Linked DNA regions of Arabidopsis thaliana. The protein of the gene in region 2 interacts with the protein of the main gene of each other region in a pairwise test. Each region holds a gene or a part of one and is shown on either strand. Other genes may lie near its edges.

Evidence for each region. The genes of interacting proteins can lie anywhere in the genome.
Region 1: the proteins of AT3G11590 (region 2) and AT1G30860 interact in a two-hybrid assay, tested with the Arabidopsis thaliana proteins (one large-scale study listed by BioGRID).
Region 3: the proteins of AT3G11590 (region 2) and PPR2 interact in a two-hybrid assay, tested with the Arabidopsis thaliana proteins (one large-scale study listed by BioGRID).

Annotation. Positions count from the first base shown.
Region 1 is NC_003070.9:10,985,973-10,991,524, forward strand, and holds AT1G30860 (RING/U-box superfamily protein), read right to left. Parts: upstream 3,622-5,552; 5' UTR 3,275-3,621; coding exon 2,522-3,274; intron 2,423-2,521; coding exon 2,304-2,422; intron 2,217-2,303; coding exon 1,533-2,216; intron 1,449-1,532; coding exon 1,127-1,448; intron 1,039-1,126; coding exon 724-1,038; 3' UTR 524-723; downstream 1-523. Other genes in the region: RSH4 (root hair specific 4), read left to right, coding at 1-46.
Region 2 is NC_003074.8:3,658,490-3,664,278, forward strand, and holds AT3G11590 (golgin family A protein), read left to right. Parts: upstream 1-1,808; 5' UTR 1,809-2,008; intron 2,009-2,107; 5' UTR 2,108-2,138; coding exon 2,139-2,621; intron 2,622-2,674; exon of another isoform or gene 2,675-3,296; coding exon 3,297-3,419; intron 3,420-3,785; coding exon 3,786-5,048; 3' UTR 5,049-5,245; downstream 5,246-5,789. Other genes in the region: AT3G11591 (bric-a-brac protein), read right to left, coding at 5,291-5,482.
Region 3 is NC_003074.8:1,955,886-1,960,206, reverse strand, and holds PPR2 (Tetratricopeptide repeat (TPR)-like superfamily protein), read left to right. Parts: upstream 1-1,902; 5' UTR 1,903-1,966; coding exon 1,967-2,293; intron 2,294-2,415; coding exon 2,416-3,549; 3' UTR 3,550-3,798; downstream 3,799-4,321. Other genes in the region: ATG8H (Ubiquitin-like superfamily protein), read left to right, coding at 3,933-3,975, 4,073-4,128.

The DNA.
Region 1 (5,552 bases), on a different chromosome or scaffold from region 2:
GGCTAGAGATGACTTCAACACCTTCTTGACCGCACAAAACGCTTGAATAAGGAAAACAAAAACAGAACACAGAGTTTTATTTATAATATGTATGTATGAAATGAGTGTAATGTATCTACGGATGATGTGTAAATATTATGGAGAGAAAGAGAGTGTTGAGTCTTTGAGAAATCAAAATCGATAAAGGGTTTATGATTCTAAAACAACTCAAAAAGTATAATTTTTAGTGTTTGCTTAGAAGCTCTATCTCCAATTTTTGAGGGTTTGTTTGGCTTTGTTGAATCTTTATGAAATAAATTTGACCAAGAGTAGATGATTATGAGAGTATTTTATAATCTATGTGCTTCACTTTTGCATCGAAGATCTGTTTTCAGACTTTAATCTACAATTTTTAGAGTGTACTCAATGAGGTATCAAAATCAATGAAATGATGGTTACTAGAGTAATTGCAAAAATTCATGTATGTTTCCAAGCTCTGTTTGTGACTTGCCTTTTCAGGTTTTAAGGTTTATTTTTAGGCTATTTTCCGTTAATTTTTTTGGTTGGTTTAGGAGATCAAAAACTTCATAAAACTGGACAAAGTGTTGGTAACATAACCTAAAAACTGTATAAAGAGAGCATAATACGATATTCAGACCCAAAACGCCAAATAACGCAAACTCGATAAGGAAAAGAGGGTTTAATGGGTTAGTGAATTCTTCAGCGTTTTCAAAACGGTTGATTTCAGTTTCTTGTATCGTAGATGACACGAACAACGTCAACAATCTGAGCTCTGCAAATCGGACATTTCCCTCCACTCCAATGTAGTTCGTTGGCACATTTTAGGCACATGCACATATGTCCACACCTGTACAAAACCGCCTCGACCTGTGTTTCGTCGCAGACGCAGCATTTTCGTTTCATTGGGTTTTCTTGGTGAGCCTTGTGTTGCAAGCTCGCGTTAGCATCTAAACACGTTTTGACAGAATCTCGTAGTACTGACATTTCTTGCTGAAGCTGTTGGATCTGTGATCTCATACCGCTTATCAGCTCCATTTCCTGAAAACGTTTATATGCGGCTCAATGAGTTTACCACTAGTGCGGTTGCGAGTTTCTATAGTATAACAAGAAATCGATAAACACTCACAGGTGACTGAGGATTCTGAACAACCAAGGCAGGAGTGGAAGTAACATCAGTGTCTTGAGAACTCCATGATCCTGCAGGAGACGATGCAGATATATGTGAAGACGACGATTGGCTCAAGTCATCTCTATCATCTTGCTCTTCACCTCCTCTTAATGGCTCTTCTTTGATTTCTTCATCAATTTCAAAATTTACTTCCTCCTCTTCTTCTTGTTGCAATTCCCATTTTTTGGAGTGCTTATCCGAGTGTGTCTGTACACGGGACATCATGAGATTATCGATCTTCTCTCGCAACCCGCTGTCGAGGAAATCTGTCACCGTTCTTCTGTATTAAGCAGGGAAATTCATTTTCTTAGTCAGTTATTAACCATTAAGAAACATGAGCTTGTCAATTTTGATGGTTACTTACCGCTCAAGGAGTCTGCATATGTCATCTTTCTCAGACCTAGTGTTCATTACTTCCAGGTACCGTGACTTCCTCAATTCCTCCCAGTAACTCCGAGGCCTAGCTATTTCACTAAGCCAGTCGTCGTTATATTCTCCATAATAAGACTGCTCATCTGCATACTCTTCTTGTTCTCCCCATCTATTCAAATAGGATGTTTCTTGTTGATCAAGGCACTGGTCCATCTCATTACTCTCATGAACTAGACCTTCTGTTTCTCGAGTTTCTTGCATATACTTTCCCACATTGTTCTCGTCTTGATTCTGTCTCAACCGCGATTCTCGAGATAAATATTCACTCGGGCTAGTATTTTCTTCTTCTTTCTTTTCAGACTTGCCATCGTTGCAAGTTTCTTCTACTTCTCTTGTTTCTTGCAGCTGAAGGCAATTCTTTTGTGAATCAACTGTTCCACTTACAGATTCTTCTTCCTTACATAACGTTGCTTCCTCTATCTTGCGGTTACGGGGTCTCAACCGCTCTGCGAAAAAAGCTTCGAGAGTAACACCACCATCCTTTAACCTCGTGCTTGTGGTAGTAGTTCCTTCTGTTTCTTCTACGGATTTGTTGTTCATCTCAGTGGATCGTTGATGATTCTTCCTCTTATCTGTTGCAGCCGCAGAGTTTACTACGTTCGCATGAAATTTCTCCCTGCGTTGCCAATCAAAGATTGAAAATCTGAAGAAAGTAAACCCTAAGAACTAAACTCAAAACATAAAACAGAGAATCTGAAAAAACCTTAAATGCAGAACAGCAGAGCCTGATTCAATTCGGTTTAATCCGGTTGTTTTTGCGTTAGACCGGTTTCTATCTTGAATCACAAGACAGCGATTGAGGTTCCTTAACCTTAGCATTGACTGGTTAAATAATGTAATTAGAAAAACCATTTAGTGGATTATGAATAAAGTCACAAATATGTTAGTTATTTTTATCAAAATAGTGAAAATATAATTTACCTGGAGACGACCACGTTGAGTAAACCTAGAAACTGCGTTGCGTTCAAAAAGCGAATCCAATTCACGGTGGCGATCACGTTCCATTTGCATAAGAAAATCGGTAAACGCTTGTCGTCCTCGTATCTTCGGAGAGAAACTAACCACCGGAAAATTACTTTTCTCCGATGACGACGAAGTGCAATAAGGCCTCGGCGTTCTGATAATCTCGAGTCCACCGCCACCGCCGCTGCCATTATCTCCAGCGGTTCGTTTCTTGTCTTCGTTGCTAAGCCTCCGAATTAGGTCAGCGACTCGTCCCCATTTACTTTCTCCGGAATCAGAAACCAAACCATGTGACCTAGATTCAATCTCCACCGTTCGATCAGCAATTTCAGAATCTCCATCGATTGATGAAGATTCTGAAAGACCGGAATCTTGAACACTAACTCCTGAATCGCTCCGACTACTACTACTCGCCGTAGATTGACTGCTACTCGGCGAGTTTCCACCGTTGGATCGGTTTAGCCTCGCCTCCCATATCTGAACCAAAGAAGAAGCCACAAGATTGTCGTTTCTCTTCGATTCTAACGGAGATTCAAGAACACGATTGTTCTTGTTATTGTGAGTTTCGATCCAAGAATCAACTAAATTCTCATCGGAGACATGAGATTTCAAAACCTCTTTCACCGGAGATTTCAGATTCTTTTGAAAAACGCCAGCGTTTTGGTTACGATCTCTTAAGATTAAACCGAATCTCTGAGGAGAAGACACCATTTTTTTACGATCTAAGAATCGAACAAACGAACATAAAATCAAATAATCATTAGAGTTTTTGAATCGATCGAAAGAAGTTAGAGGACAACTCTGTTTTCTCTGTCTCTCTACAAGAAGAAGAGAAAATGGATTTGTGTTAGTGAAGAGACAGATTTTTCTCTCTGTTTTTTTTTCCTGTTAAAGAAACAGAACAACAACAAACAAACGGTGGAGATACGATGATGATGAAGAAGCAAAACAGAACCAAACAGTATTTGTGCTTATCTATTTAGTAAGAGGACTTATAAATGTTAAGAGTCCTAAAATGGCTCTGTTTTGTCCCTTAAACTGGGGAACGTGTCTGTAAAACAAGGCAATAAAGAATGAGGTGTAAGAATACAGAGAAAGAAAAGCCTTATGTGGCCAAAAGTGATAAATTGTTATAGAAAAATAAAAAAGCTACTTATAATTTTGGACAAAATTGAATTTGAAAGATATTGTATAACACATGTCATTATACTGGTAAAAGCATTTAATTGTGTAATGCATGAAAAAATTAACATTGGATTGTTATACTAATTAAAGGGTGATTAAATTATTTAATAATTAAGGCTCCTAAATATGCTAGAGTCAAAAAGGAGCCGTTGAGGAATTTAGCCGTTGTCGAGTGGGAACCATGCACTTTCTGGATTTTATGCCACATCATAAATCAAATTGAAGAACTAAAGATAACAAACAATTTTAAATTGTATAACTGACAGGAACAAAAACTTTTAAGCAAAGTAAAAATAATTTAATTAGAGAAAATTAGATGTTCAACCCAAGTTTCATGTAGTGTGCGATTTTATTGTAGTGTGGTCAATAGGCCCAGGCATAGTGGTCAATGTCGTGCTTGGGTTAGTCGAATAGAGAGAGAACTTAGGACGAGTTGTGATTTGTGACTCTTATAAAACGATTTAAGAAAAAATAGTCTCTATACAAAATAACGATAATTGAAACCAATAATAAGGTTCACAACCGATCATTTTCGGATCCCGATGAGTTAACGATTAGTCAACGATAGAGTAAAACGACCGATTAATCGAGACTTAGTGTCTATGATATTGGCACATACGACATATATTTCGTATATATATTTCAGGTAACTGGGTATCGTTTATATTAGTTGCGGCATATGTGATAATGTATTCTTCCACACTTCGTATAGCTAGCTGACAATCTTTTTTCTTAAAGTTTAAGTATTAGGAAGTATTATCCGGTAGATAAAGAAGATGGACGATTGAAAAAGCGATTGATACGATTTTTCTTCTGTGATTTTTCCGACCGGCCGGCGTTGGTTCCGACTTCGATTGTACTCTTTTCTCCTTTATAATTCTAGCAAATATTAGTTTACATACATATATTTCAGTTATTAACAATGAGTTCTAGAGAATCAACTGCTTTTGGTTGGCCTCTTTTCACACTGTTGGCGATTTTCATGACCCAAAAATTGAGTTTTCTACAATTATTTGTAAGAAATATAAATTATAAAAACTAGAAAAATATATGAAAAAGTTTAAGGTTTTGACTAGTGAGAATTTGTTGTATAGTTCAAAAAAACTCAAAATTTGAACGTTTGAAAACTTGTTGAGATGCATCAATTTTCAATAAACGTAGCCTATGGTGAATTGTTTTTTTTTTTTTGTCAACATGTCTCTAATGGACCTATTTTTCCGTGCTAAAAAATGTGCAGAGGTAATATCGCTATTTTTGTTAGAGGATCTGAGCAAATTCATTATTAATGATTGTGCAAAAAATTTGTTAATTTCGATATATCACATTTTGCTTTACGGATTACTCGAAAACATACTTTGATGTCATCATCCAGTGTATATATACGTATGTTAATTGTAGACAACAAAATAAAATAATAATAGTCTCACATAACCGACCAAAAAACAAACAAAATTAAATCAATGGAAGTTGTTGACAAATAAATTTTACAATTAATCTAATCCAAATAAGTCAAAACCCTGATTTCAGTAATGTAAAGATCATTATATCATTTTTTCTCTTGTAAAAAGGTTTTTTAAAATTATACTATTAATATATATCATTTGATCAAAAAAAAATTATATATCATAAACATTATATACGACATGCAGGCAAGTCACTCGAATATTCAAATCTTAAAGTTGTGCCTCCCACGTAAAAGCATCACATTAGTTTCCAAACCCAATTGTATATATAAATTACTACACAACACACCTCTCATCAAACAAATTCATCAAAGCCAATCAAATTGAGAGAGATATCAAGA
Region 2 (5,789 bases):
ATGGAGCAAGTGAAAGATTGATGGTTGGTAGACCATAGATTCATGCATTCATACCATAAGGTATACTGATGGTGATTGGGTAAATTTTTGAGTCAGCTATTACAATTGAAAAGTTCATCAAATGACAAAACTATTACAACTTAGATCTTTGACAGCCAAAAGAAAAAAAAAAAAAAAAGAGAAAAAAAAAACTAAATTGTTGTTAGAAATTAGAAGTCAGAAGTAAGAAGACTCCCATAGGAATACAGTTCTGGCAACCAATTTCTTAGTTCTTTATTGGGCATTCATATCTTAGTTGGGCCTGACTCATATATATTTTGAACTTTTTGTACGCAATTGTATCTAACACTATAGTCTTACATTGTTCATATATTTAATGTTTTATATTGATTGCTACCTATATATTTTGATATGATGTAGATCCAACTATTTCTAGGTTGAATTGTCTTTTCGAACAGATTTTGTTTCCGGATTCACCATAAAAAAAAAAAAAAACTTATGTGACAGAAAGTACTATAGAAAGAATCGTGTTTACAACAATAAAGAGACTTGACCCAAACAAAAAACGTTTACAACAATAAAGAGTTGAACAATAATACGGTACGATTGTGTATGTTGAATCATCTCCTCCACTTGGACGTGTCCATTTGACAACGGAAAAAAGTGTGGCCGTGTTATCTTTCTTTGTAACGTTTACAGTTTCAATTGTTTAGTTTGATCAAATAATTAACTTGTGAATTTTATGGATGCAATATCTTGAAAACTAGGAAATCATATCTGATCATCCTGCTATAAAAAAAATAATACATGCATTTTAATATTCATGGTTTCACATGAATACTTCGGTCATCCATTTTTCAATTACACGAGTGTAAATCTGTAATATCAATATTCATTTATAATTATAACGGGTTGTGATTTGTGAAATTGTGGGTATAGATAAAACTTCAAAACCTATTGAAATGAATATCTATATACTTGGAATAGTAGTAGACACATTTTGTAATGAGTAACTTAAGCACACCGGTTCTCACTCACACTCGTCTAATGGAGAAAAATGGTATATTATATACCTCATATAGGAACATGATCATATGATTTAGGAGTCATAAGCATGAGATTAACAAGATATTTTGGTCCACATTAGGAATCTACTAAAGGAACTATTTTCTTATAACCTAAAAATCTTGGTTTGGTAAAAAGAACAACCTTAGATTATTTGGTCTTTTATCGATTCATGTAATTGTGTATCAAATGATTAAAATCTAATGCATCCTACTCAAACACGTCATTTAAGAAACCCTATATAGTACAAACACGATCCAATCTCCAAATTAACCCATAGTATATCATAGACGAGCATAATATTTTTGGTCAAATATAAAATTAGATGCACTAGTTCCCTTTATTTAGGCAGATGGACTTTCTTCTAATCGAAAATAATTGTTCTCAATGAGCCGTCAAACTTTGTGAAATATGGATATAAATTCATGACATCTACATAATTTTTGGTTTAACATGTGAAATTGAACTTAGGATCTATTTCATTCGAATTCTTACCATATACTAACCAAATATAAATAATGTTTACTGCTAAATACTATTTATATAAGTTTGTTCTTCACTAAAGAAATTTGTTGATTAGTTTGTTTTTCTAATTGAGAATCTCTTATTTCAGGACCGATAAAAAGGAAGTGATTTCCGGTTTTCGATTCAATTATTTCGGTTTAAGTCGGTTTACAAATCATCCACCCTGTAAATCACGGAGCAACATCCATAATCCATACAGATCAAACCACGTGGACATGTTACAGTGTTCCTTATCACAGAAGATGAGTACTCCTGTCATCTTTCCCCTTTTCACTTTAACATAACACTCTGTACACTAGTCTGATCAAAAAACCTCAAAACACAGCAACCGCCATTTCTTTCCAAATTCCCCCAATTCCCATTCCAACTTTATCTTCTGAAGTAGAAGAAGAAGCCATAGAAATGCTTTGAAGTTTCTGTAAGTGTTCTTACTCACTCTAAAAACTTCAATTTTGGTCTTTGTGCTTTTTTCTAACAGATCGGTGAAATTTTCTGAATCTGCTTTTTGTTTTTCCAGGTAAAGAGAAAGATCTACAATTGTTTTGAATATGCCGAGGCAGAATCAAAGCGTAGAGAATCTACTTCTACTTGGCAAAATCAGGAAACGTGGTTGTTCTTCGCCGACATCGTCGACTTCTTCGATTCTCCGTGAAGGTTATAGATTCAAAAGAGCGATAGTTGTTGGTAAAAGAGGAGGATCCACTACTCCTGTACCTACATGGAGACTTATGGGTCGATCTCCTTCTCCACGAGCTTCCGGTGCTTTACACGCTGCTGCTTCTCCGTCGTCTCACTGCGGGAGCAAAACCGGTAAAGTATCAGCTCCTGCTCCTGTTTCAGCTAGGAAGTTAGCTGCGACGCTTTGGGAGATGAACGAGATGCCTTCACCTAGAGTTGTGGAGGAGGCTGCGCCAATGATTAGAAAGAGTAGAAAGGAGAGAATCGCGCCGCTTCCTCCGCCGAGATCATCGGTTCATTCTGGTTCTCTACCGCCTCATCTTTCTGATCCGTCGCATAGTCCAGTCTCTGAGGTAAAATGCTTTGGTTATGATTGGTTGAGAGGAAGAGAATGTGCTGTAATTCCAACTTCTTGCTGGCTGCCATGTGCTTTAATTCTGACCGATCAAAAGAGAGAGAGAAAAACAATAATATATATAGTATAGTATTGATTGATTCGGGGAAGTTATAAAGATCTCATCTTTAACTGATAAAATTGATAATCTTTGTGTGATTCTAAGGTCTGAATTTAGTCAAAGTTGTGATTTTTTTGGCAACCTCTATGAGTATTTTAATCATCAAGGGAGATTATTATTCGTATAAGCTTCTGGTTGATGTTAAGGAGTGGGATTAGAGAAGAATAGAAAACTGTTTTGATCTTAAGAATCTTTTGTCATGTGCTCTATAACGCACATTTATGTTTATATGAAAGGGCGTTTCTTTATAAGTTGGTGCCTATTATTCTTGCATAATTGGGCACTTCTACTAGTTTTTATTCTTTCTCATTCGTTGGTCATATGGAGGTAGCTGGTTGTTTTTTAGAGGTTGATTTATTGTGAATAATGTAGGCCTAGATTCTCTTATAATGGAGACCTAAGAAAAATTATATATAATGCTAAATCTGGCAATGGACAATGCGAAGAATTCTGCTTTCTTTACTTCTGTGTGTTAGGTAATTGGATAGCTGAGAAACTTGTTGATTTTTGTAGAGGATGGAAAGATCAGGGACTGGGAGTCGCCAGAGAAGAGCTTCATCAACTGTGCAAAAGCTTAGGCTTGGAGACTGCAATGTGGGGGCTAGGGATCCTATTAACAGTGGCAGCTTCATGGATGTAAGTTGATTTTTTTATTTTTTTTTCACTCTTGGGGATGTTTCTTTGAGCATTATGAGGAACCCTTTCTTCTAGCAGTTTTCATAATTTTCTCAAACCAAATTTGGTATTTGATTAAGGATGAAAGTAGTATATTATTGAGCATTATTGGCTCCAGAGGCTGTTGGTTTTTTTACTTTGGAAGCATACGTACACATAATCTATGGTTTGTTTTGTTATGCACAGAAACATTGCAAATAACGGTATAAGAAACTAGGAGACACTCAATCCGTTATGATTAGTTAATTTGCCTCCATCATCTATAAATCAATATGTGTGCAAGAGAGTGATGTTCAAAAATATTTGAAATGTGTTTTTCCAATGCAGATTGAGACTCGATCACGGGTGGAGACACCGACTGGGTCAACTGTGGGTGTCAAAACACGGTTGAAGGATTGTAGTAACGCTCTCACAACATCAAAAGAGCTTCTCAAAATCATTAACAGAATGTGGGGTCAAGACGACCGCCCATCTTCTAGCATGTCCCTCGTCTCTGCTTTACATTCTGAGCTCGAAAGAGCTCGCTTACAGGTCAATCAGTTAATCCACGAACATAAACCGGAAAACAACGACATTAGCTACTTGATGAAGCGTTTTGCCGAAGAGAAAGCTGTGTGGAAAAGCAACGAGCAAGAAGTTGTTGAGGCTGCAATCGAATCTGTTGCTGGTGAGCTAGAAGTGGAGAGGAAGCTGAGGAGACGGTTTGAGAGCTTGAACAAGAAATTGGGCAAAGAATTGGCTGAAACAAAATCAGCTCTGATGAAAGCAGTTAAAGAAATCGAGAACGAGAAGCGAGCGAGAGTGATGGTTGAGAAAGTTTGTGATGAACTAGCAAGAGACATAAGCGAAGACAAAGCCGAAGTTGAAGAACTGAAGAGAGAATCTTTTAAAGTCAAAGAAGAAGTCGAAAAGGAAAGAGAGATGTTGCAGTTAGCAGATGCATTGCGGGAAGAGAGAGTACAGATGAAACTATCGGAGGCTAAACACCAGCTCGAGGAGAAAAACGCAGCTGTTGATAAGCTAAGAAACCAGCTTCAAACTTACCTCAAAGCAAAAAGATGTAAAGAGAAGACCCGTGAACCACCTCAAACTCAGCTACATAACGAAGAGGCTGGAGATTATTTAAACCATCACATCAGTTTTGGATCATATAACATCGAAGATGGAGAAGTCGAGAATGGAAATGAAGAAGGTTCAGGCGAAAGCGACCTTCATTCCATAGAACTGAACATAGACAACAAGAGCTATAAATGGCCTTATGGTGAAGAGAACAGAGGAAGAAAATCAACGCCAAGGAAAAGCCTTTCTTTACAAAGAAGCATATCGGATTGTGTTGATTGGGTTGTACAGAGCGAGAAGCTTCAAAAAAGTGGAGATGGAGGGTTGGATTGGGGAAGATCTATTGACGTTGAGCCTAAAGGGTATATAGATGAAACACAAGCTTATAAACCAAACAAGGCTTCTTCAAAAGATCACCATATCCTCTCGGGTTCGAGACTAAGTAACTTCCGCGGTGGATCTGTTTCAAAGTCGCGGTTATCGGATGCTTCGAAAGGCGAGAACCAGAATGCCAGAAAATCAAGATGGTAATATGATCAAGAAATTTTATTCACATTTTCAGCGCAGAGATAACAGAATCTAAAGACTTTACATCTACATTTTTTCTCTGTTCGCTCGTTTTGTCAAGAGTGATTCTCTCATCTGTAAGTGACATAAAACATGAATTTGAACTGGTAATGATCCAAACATGTAAGAGCATGAATTTACACGAAATCGTCTTTTGATTTATATCATTTAAGAGTTAGAACGCCTACAAGATCGAAAAAAAGACACTAATCGTCGAGCCATTTCCTGATTCGATCCTTGACGAAATCATTACGAGCTTTGACGCGAGCTTGTTGCGGTGAGATGTTGGCGAGTGAGAGATACGCTCCGGCGACGAAGAGAGAAACGCCCGCCGCGAAAAAACCCACCGACACTACTAACTGCCGCCGTGTCGGCGGATACGACATAAAAAACACCATCTTATCGTTTACCGCCGTCTGTTGCAAAAGCTGTTTAATACTAACTGTTAATGGGCCGGGGTTTTTTATTTTATTTTGGGCTTTATTTTTAATCTCCAATTTCTCAACAAATTAAAAAAAAAGAGTATTAAAAAAAAGGAATGAAGATTAAACCGAGAAGGCGAGAACTTTTTTTTTTTTTGTTATTGGTTATTTAATATTATAAACAATGGTTTAATGGATTATTTTCGAATTTAGATCCATACAAAATTTGAAAAGAGCCCAATCAACTATACCAAACCGAACCAAGCTCTTAAATCAAAATCGA
Region 3 (4,321 bases), 1.7 Mb from region 2:
CCCAATGCCCAAACCCAAGTCAAAAGCCCAAAATAAGTTCCAAACCAAGGAGGAGTATTAAGGCGAAGGGTAGTTTCGTCAAATCCCTCGATGAATGCCCTACACGCGTAGTGCTATAAATACGGAATAGCATGTCATGTCGAAGGGGGGAATTCCGCCTGACACGCAGACACAGAGTAGCTCGCCTTTCTCAAGTAGCTCGTCAGCGAGCCCTTCTCAAGAAGCTCGTTAGCTCGCTCCTCTTCGACAAGCTTATCAACTCGTTCTCTTCACCAAGTCCCTCAGCTCGTCTTCAAGCTCTCCAACTCGTCTTTAAGCTCTTCAAACTCTTCAGATCGCCATTAAGCTCAACAAGCTGCTAAGCTCGTCTTCAAGCTCCTCAACTCGTCTTCAAGCTTCTCAGCTCGTCTTCATGCTCCACTCAACGACCATCTCCTCGTCTAGCTGTCATCTATACAGCTCGTCCAACTCCTCGTCTAGCTATCAGCTCATCCCTCGAAAACAAAACTCATCTACCTCCTCGCCTAGCGGCAGTTCGTCCATTGACTGCATAGTCCACCTATCTCGTCGTCCAGCTCGTCTAGACCTTCAGCAAACAACTCGGTTTATCCAACTCGTCTCTCTACCACGGTTCATCCAGCTTGTCGCACATCTGCCGGCTCGTCAACTACCTGCCGACCTACCTCCAATGACGGCCTAGCTCACTTATTCTAATATGAACTACGTGTGGCTTGACCCCTTTCTAATATGGACTACGTGTCGTCTCGCTTGACTATCACCGAGACAGCACATTGTCAGCTCGCCCGTCTCACGAAGATCGTCCGTCTCAAATAGCTCGTCAGCTCGTCCTTCTCAAGTAGCTCGTCAGCGAGCCCTTCTCAAGAAGCTCGTTAGCTCGCTCCTCTTCGTCAAGCTTATCAACTCGTTCTCTTCACCAAGTCCCCCAGCTCGTCTTCAAGCTCTCCAACTCGTCTTCAAGCTCTTCAGCTCGCCTTAAGCTCTTCAGCTCGCCTTTAAGCTCTTCAAACTCTTTAGCTCGCCCTTCTTACAAAAACAAAAAAGGATATCAATTATGTAGATCAAAACAAAAACAAAAAAGGACTTACAAGGACGTAGATATCAATTATGTAGATCAAAGAATAAGCAGTCCAAATTCCAGCGTTGATGAAACGAACTAACGATAGCCAAAACGGCATGTACTTGAAGGTCTTAGTCTCCGGCGGCATTTTGTCCTAATTGTTTCACGCATTAAAAACTTATCAAAACCAGTTTAATAGTTTACTTATCTATATATTCATCAATAAGTGAGAGCCAGAGAGAGAGAGAGAGCTTACTATGGTAAATAAAAGATAGATGATAACAATGTTGTAAACGTTGCAAACAACACCAATGAATGTATGCTTGCCGGCCGGATAAACTCCCAAATCCCCAGATAGTCATACAATAGACTGTTGCCACAAAACTAAACTCCAACGGAAGCAATAGATAAAAGAGTAATATCTGCACATCAACATCGACATCATCAAAATCAATATACAATATTTTTCTGGATTTGTTTTTTTTTTCTTTGGGATATTTCTATAGAATTTAGTCAAGATTGTGTTTGTTTGTTACCACCTTTTGTGCACCAGTCACCAATCCTTATTTTTATTATTAAATCTATTTTTGATACTATAATTCGTGATTTTCCTTTTAGTTTTATATATATATATACTTACAGAGATGCGAGCTTCATATTATTATTTTTATCTTTTTGAACACCAAAAAAATAGCCTCGTATTATTTTTAAATGATCAATTATGTGATCATATTTAAAAATACGATCCGGTTTTTAAGGGATTTGAACGGATCAAATGTGTTTCCGGTTCGGTTATATAAACCGGTATTTTACCATATCCAACCGAAATGAGTATCGACGGGAATTATCCGTAAACAGAGTGACAGTGAGGTGTGAAGGAAGAAGACGATGGCGTCAATGTCTCTCTCCTTTTCTTCTTCGCTATGTTCATCCAGAATCCCCGAAGGTAAGCGTAGGTTTCGTCACAGAGATGTGGGCATCGTTAGATGCGTTTTGGCTGCTTCGAAATCTTCTCCGGGAAGTGTTACGAAGAAGAGGCTTTGGAAAGACGGCGAATTCCCCGGAATCACGGAGCCGGTTAATCAGAGAAGAACTCCGATAAAGAATGTGAAGAAGAAACTTGACAGGAGAAGCAAAGCTAACGGATGGGTTAACACCGTCACTGAAACTTTGTCCGATCTCATCGCCAAAAAGCAGTGGTTACAAGCTCTCGAGGTATTTCGATTTTCTCTCTTCTCGTTCATGTTTGATTGAATTTGAACTCAATTTTGAATCACGAGTATAATTTAGCTGAAAGATGATTTTGATTGAATTGGGTATTTTGTTGATGATCTTAGGTTTTTGATATGTTGAGGGAACAAACATTTTATCAACCAAAGGAAGGAACTTACATGAAGCTGCTTGTTCTTCTCGGTAAATCTGGTCAACCCAATCGTGCACAGAAGCTGTTCGACGAAATGCTTGAAGAAGGACTTGAACCAACTGTTGAACTCTACACTGCTCTTCTCGCTGCTTACACTCGCAGCAATCTCATCGACGATGCTTTTTCAATTCTTGATAAAATGAAAAGCTTTCCTCAATGCCAACCTGATGTTTTCACGTACAGCACTCTGCTCAAGGCTTGTGTGGATGCTTCTCAGTTTGACTTGGTGGATTCGTTATACAAGGAAATGGACGAGCGTTTGATAACTCCAAACACTGTGACCCAGAACATAGTTTTAAGTGGGTACGGTAGGGTCGGAAGGTTTGATCAGATGGAGAAAGTTTTGTCTGATATGTTGGTGAGTACTGCTTGCAAACCCGATGTGTGGACTATGAATATCATCCTTAGTGTGTTTGGAAACATGGGTAAGATAGACATGATGGAGAGCTGGTACGAAAAGTTCAGGAACTTTGGGATTGAGCCAGAGACTCGGACTTTCAATATTTTGATTGGTTCTTATGGGAAGAAGAGAATGTATGATAAGATGTCGTCTGTCATGGAATACATGCGAAAGCTAGAGTTTCCGTGGACAACATCAACCTACAACAATATCATCGAGGCGTTTGCGGATGTTGGTGATGCAAAGAACATGGAGTTGACATTTGATCAGATGCGTAGCGAAGGTATGAAAGCAGACACAAAGACCTTTTGCTGTCTCATAAACGGATATGCCAATGCCGGTCTTTTCCACAAGGTGATAAGTAGTGTTCAGTTGGCTGCTAAGTTTGAGATACCCGAGAATACTGCCTTTTACAACGCGGTGATATCAGCGTGTGCTAAAGCAGATGATCTGATAGAGATGGAAAGAGTGTACATAAGAATGAAGGAGAGACAATGCGTATGCGATTCAAGAACGTTTGAGATCATGGTCGAGGCGTATGAAAAAGAAGGTATGAATGATAAGATCTATTACTTGGAACAAGAGAGGCAAAAGCTTATGGATCGCACTGTTGCTACAAAAGAGATGGAGAATCTTCCGGCAGGATGATTGCGGTTTGTGTGTGAATCTCTCTCTCTCTCTCTCTGCAAGGAGAGATCGATGTCTCACTTGAAAGAGTAGAATAAAAGAGTTTGTAATACACTTGATTGTTCTTGCAGCTATGCGTGTTATATATTTTGATGGGCCCAAAATTATGAATAGAGGCCCATAGATAAACTGTGACGTGCACAAGAAATCGGACAAGTCCAAAAAGTGGATAAGTGCGTGTCGTCTTTCTATAAATAATCTCTTTTCTCTCATCTTTTACCGTTTCTTCTCGAACAATCAAAAACGAACTAACCAAACATAAAATTGAACACATCCTCTTCCTCTGCTCTCTGCAAACAAAAAAACACCGATTCGGTCAGGAATCATTCGTCGTGAAATCTGTAATGGGGATTGTTGTCAAGTCTTTCAAGGATCAATTCTCCTCTGGTTTGTTCTTCGTTAATCTCTTTCTGATTCTTTGGAATTTTTTTTCCTTCGAAATGTGCTTCTGAAGCAAAGTTTTCATCTTTGTTTGAGGATATAGATGAGAGATTGAAGGAGTCGAACAACATCATTGCGAAATATCCAGATAGAATACCTGTAAGTTATTTCATAAATTTCATGTTTGATTTGTTTCTTGGTGTTTCCGTCTTAGTTGCCGTGCGATTGTGGATTTCCTTAGGGTTCGAATGATTTACTCAATTAAAAAAAAGTCTTCGTTTGACTTGCATCTCTCGAATTTGCTAGAATCTCTGTTTCAATCTTAGAATTTCTTCGCCATGGTTTGATGGAT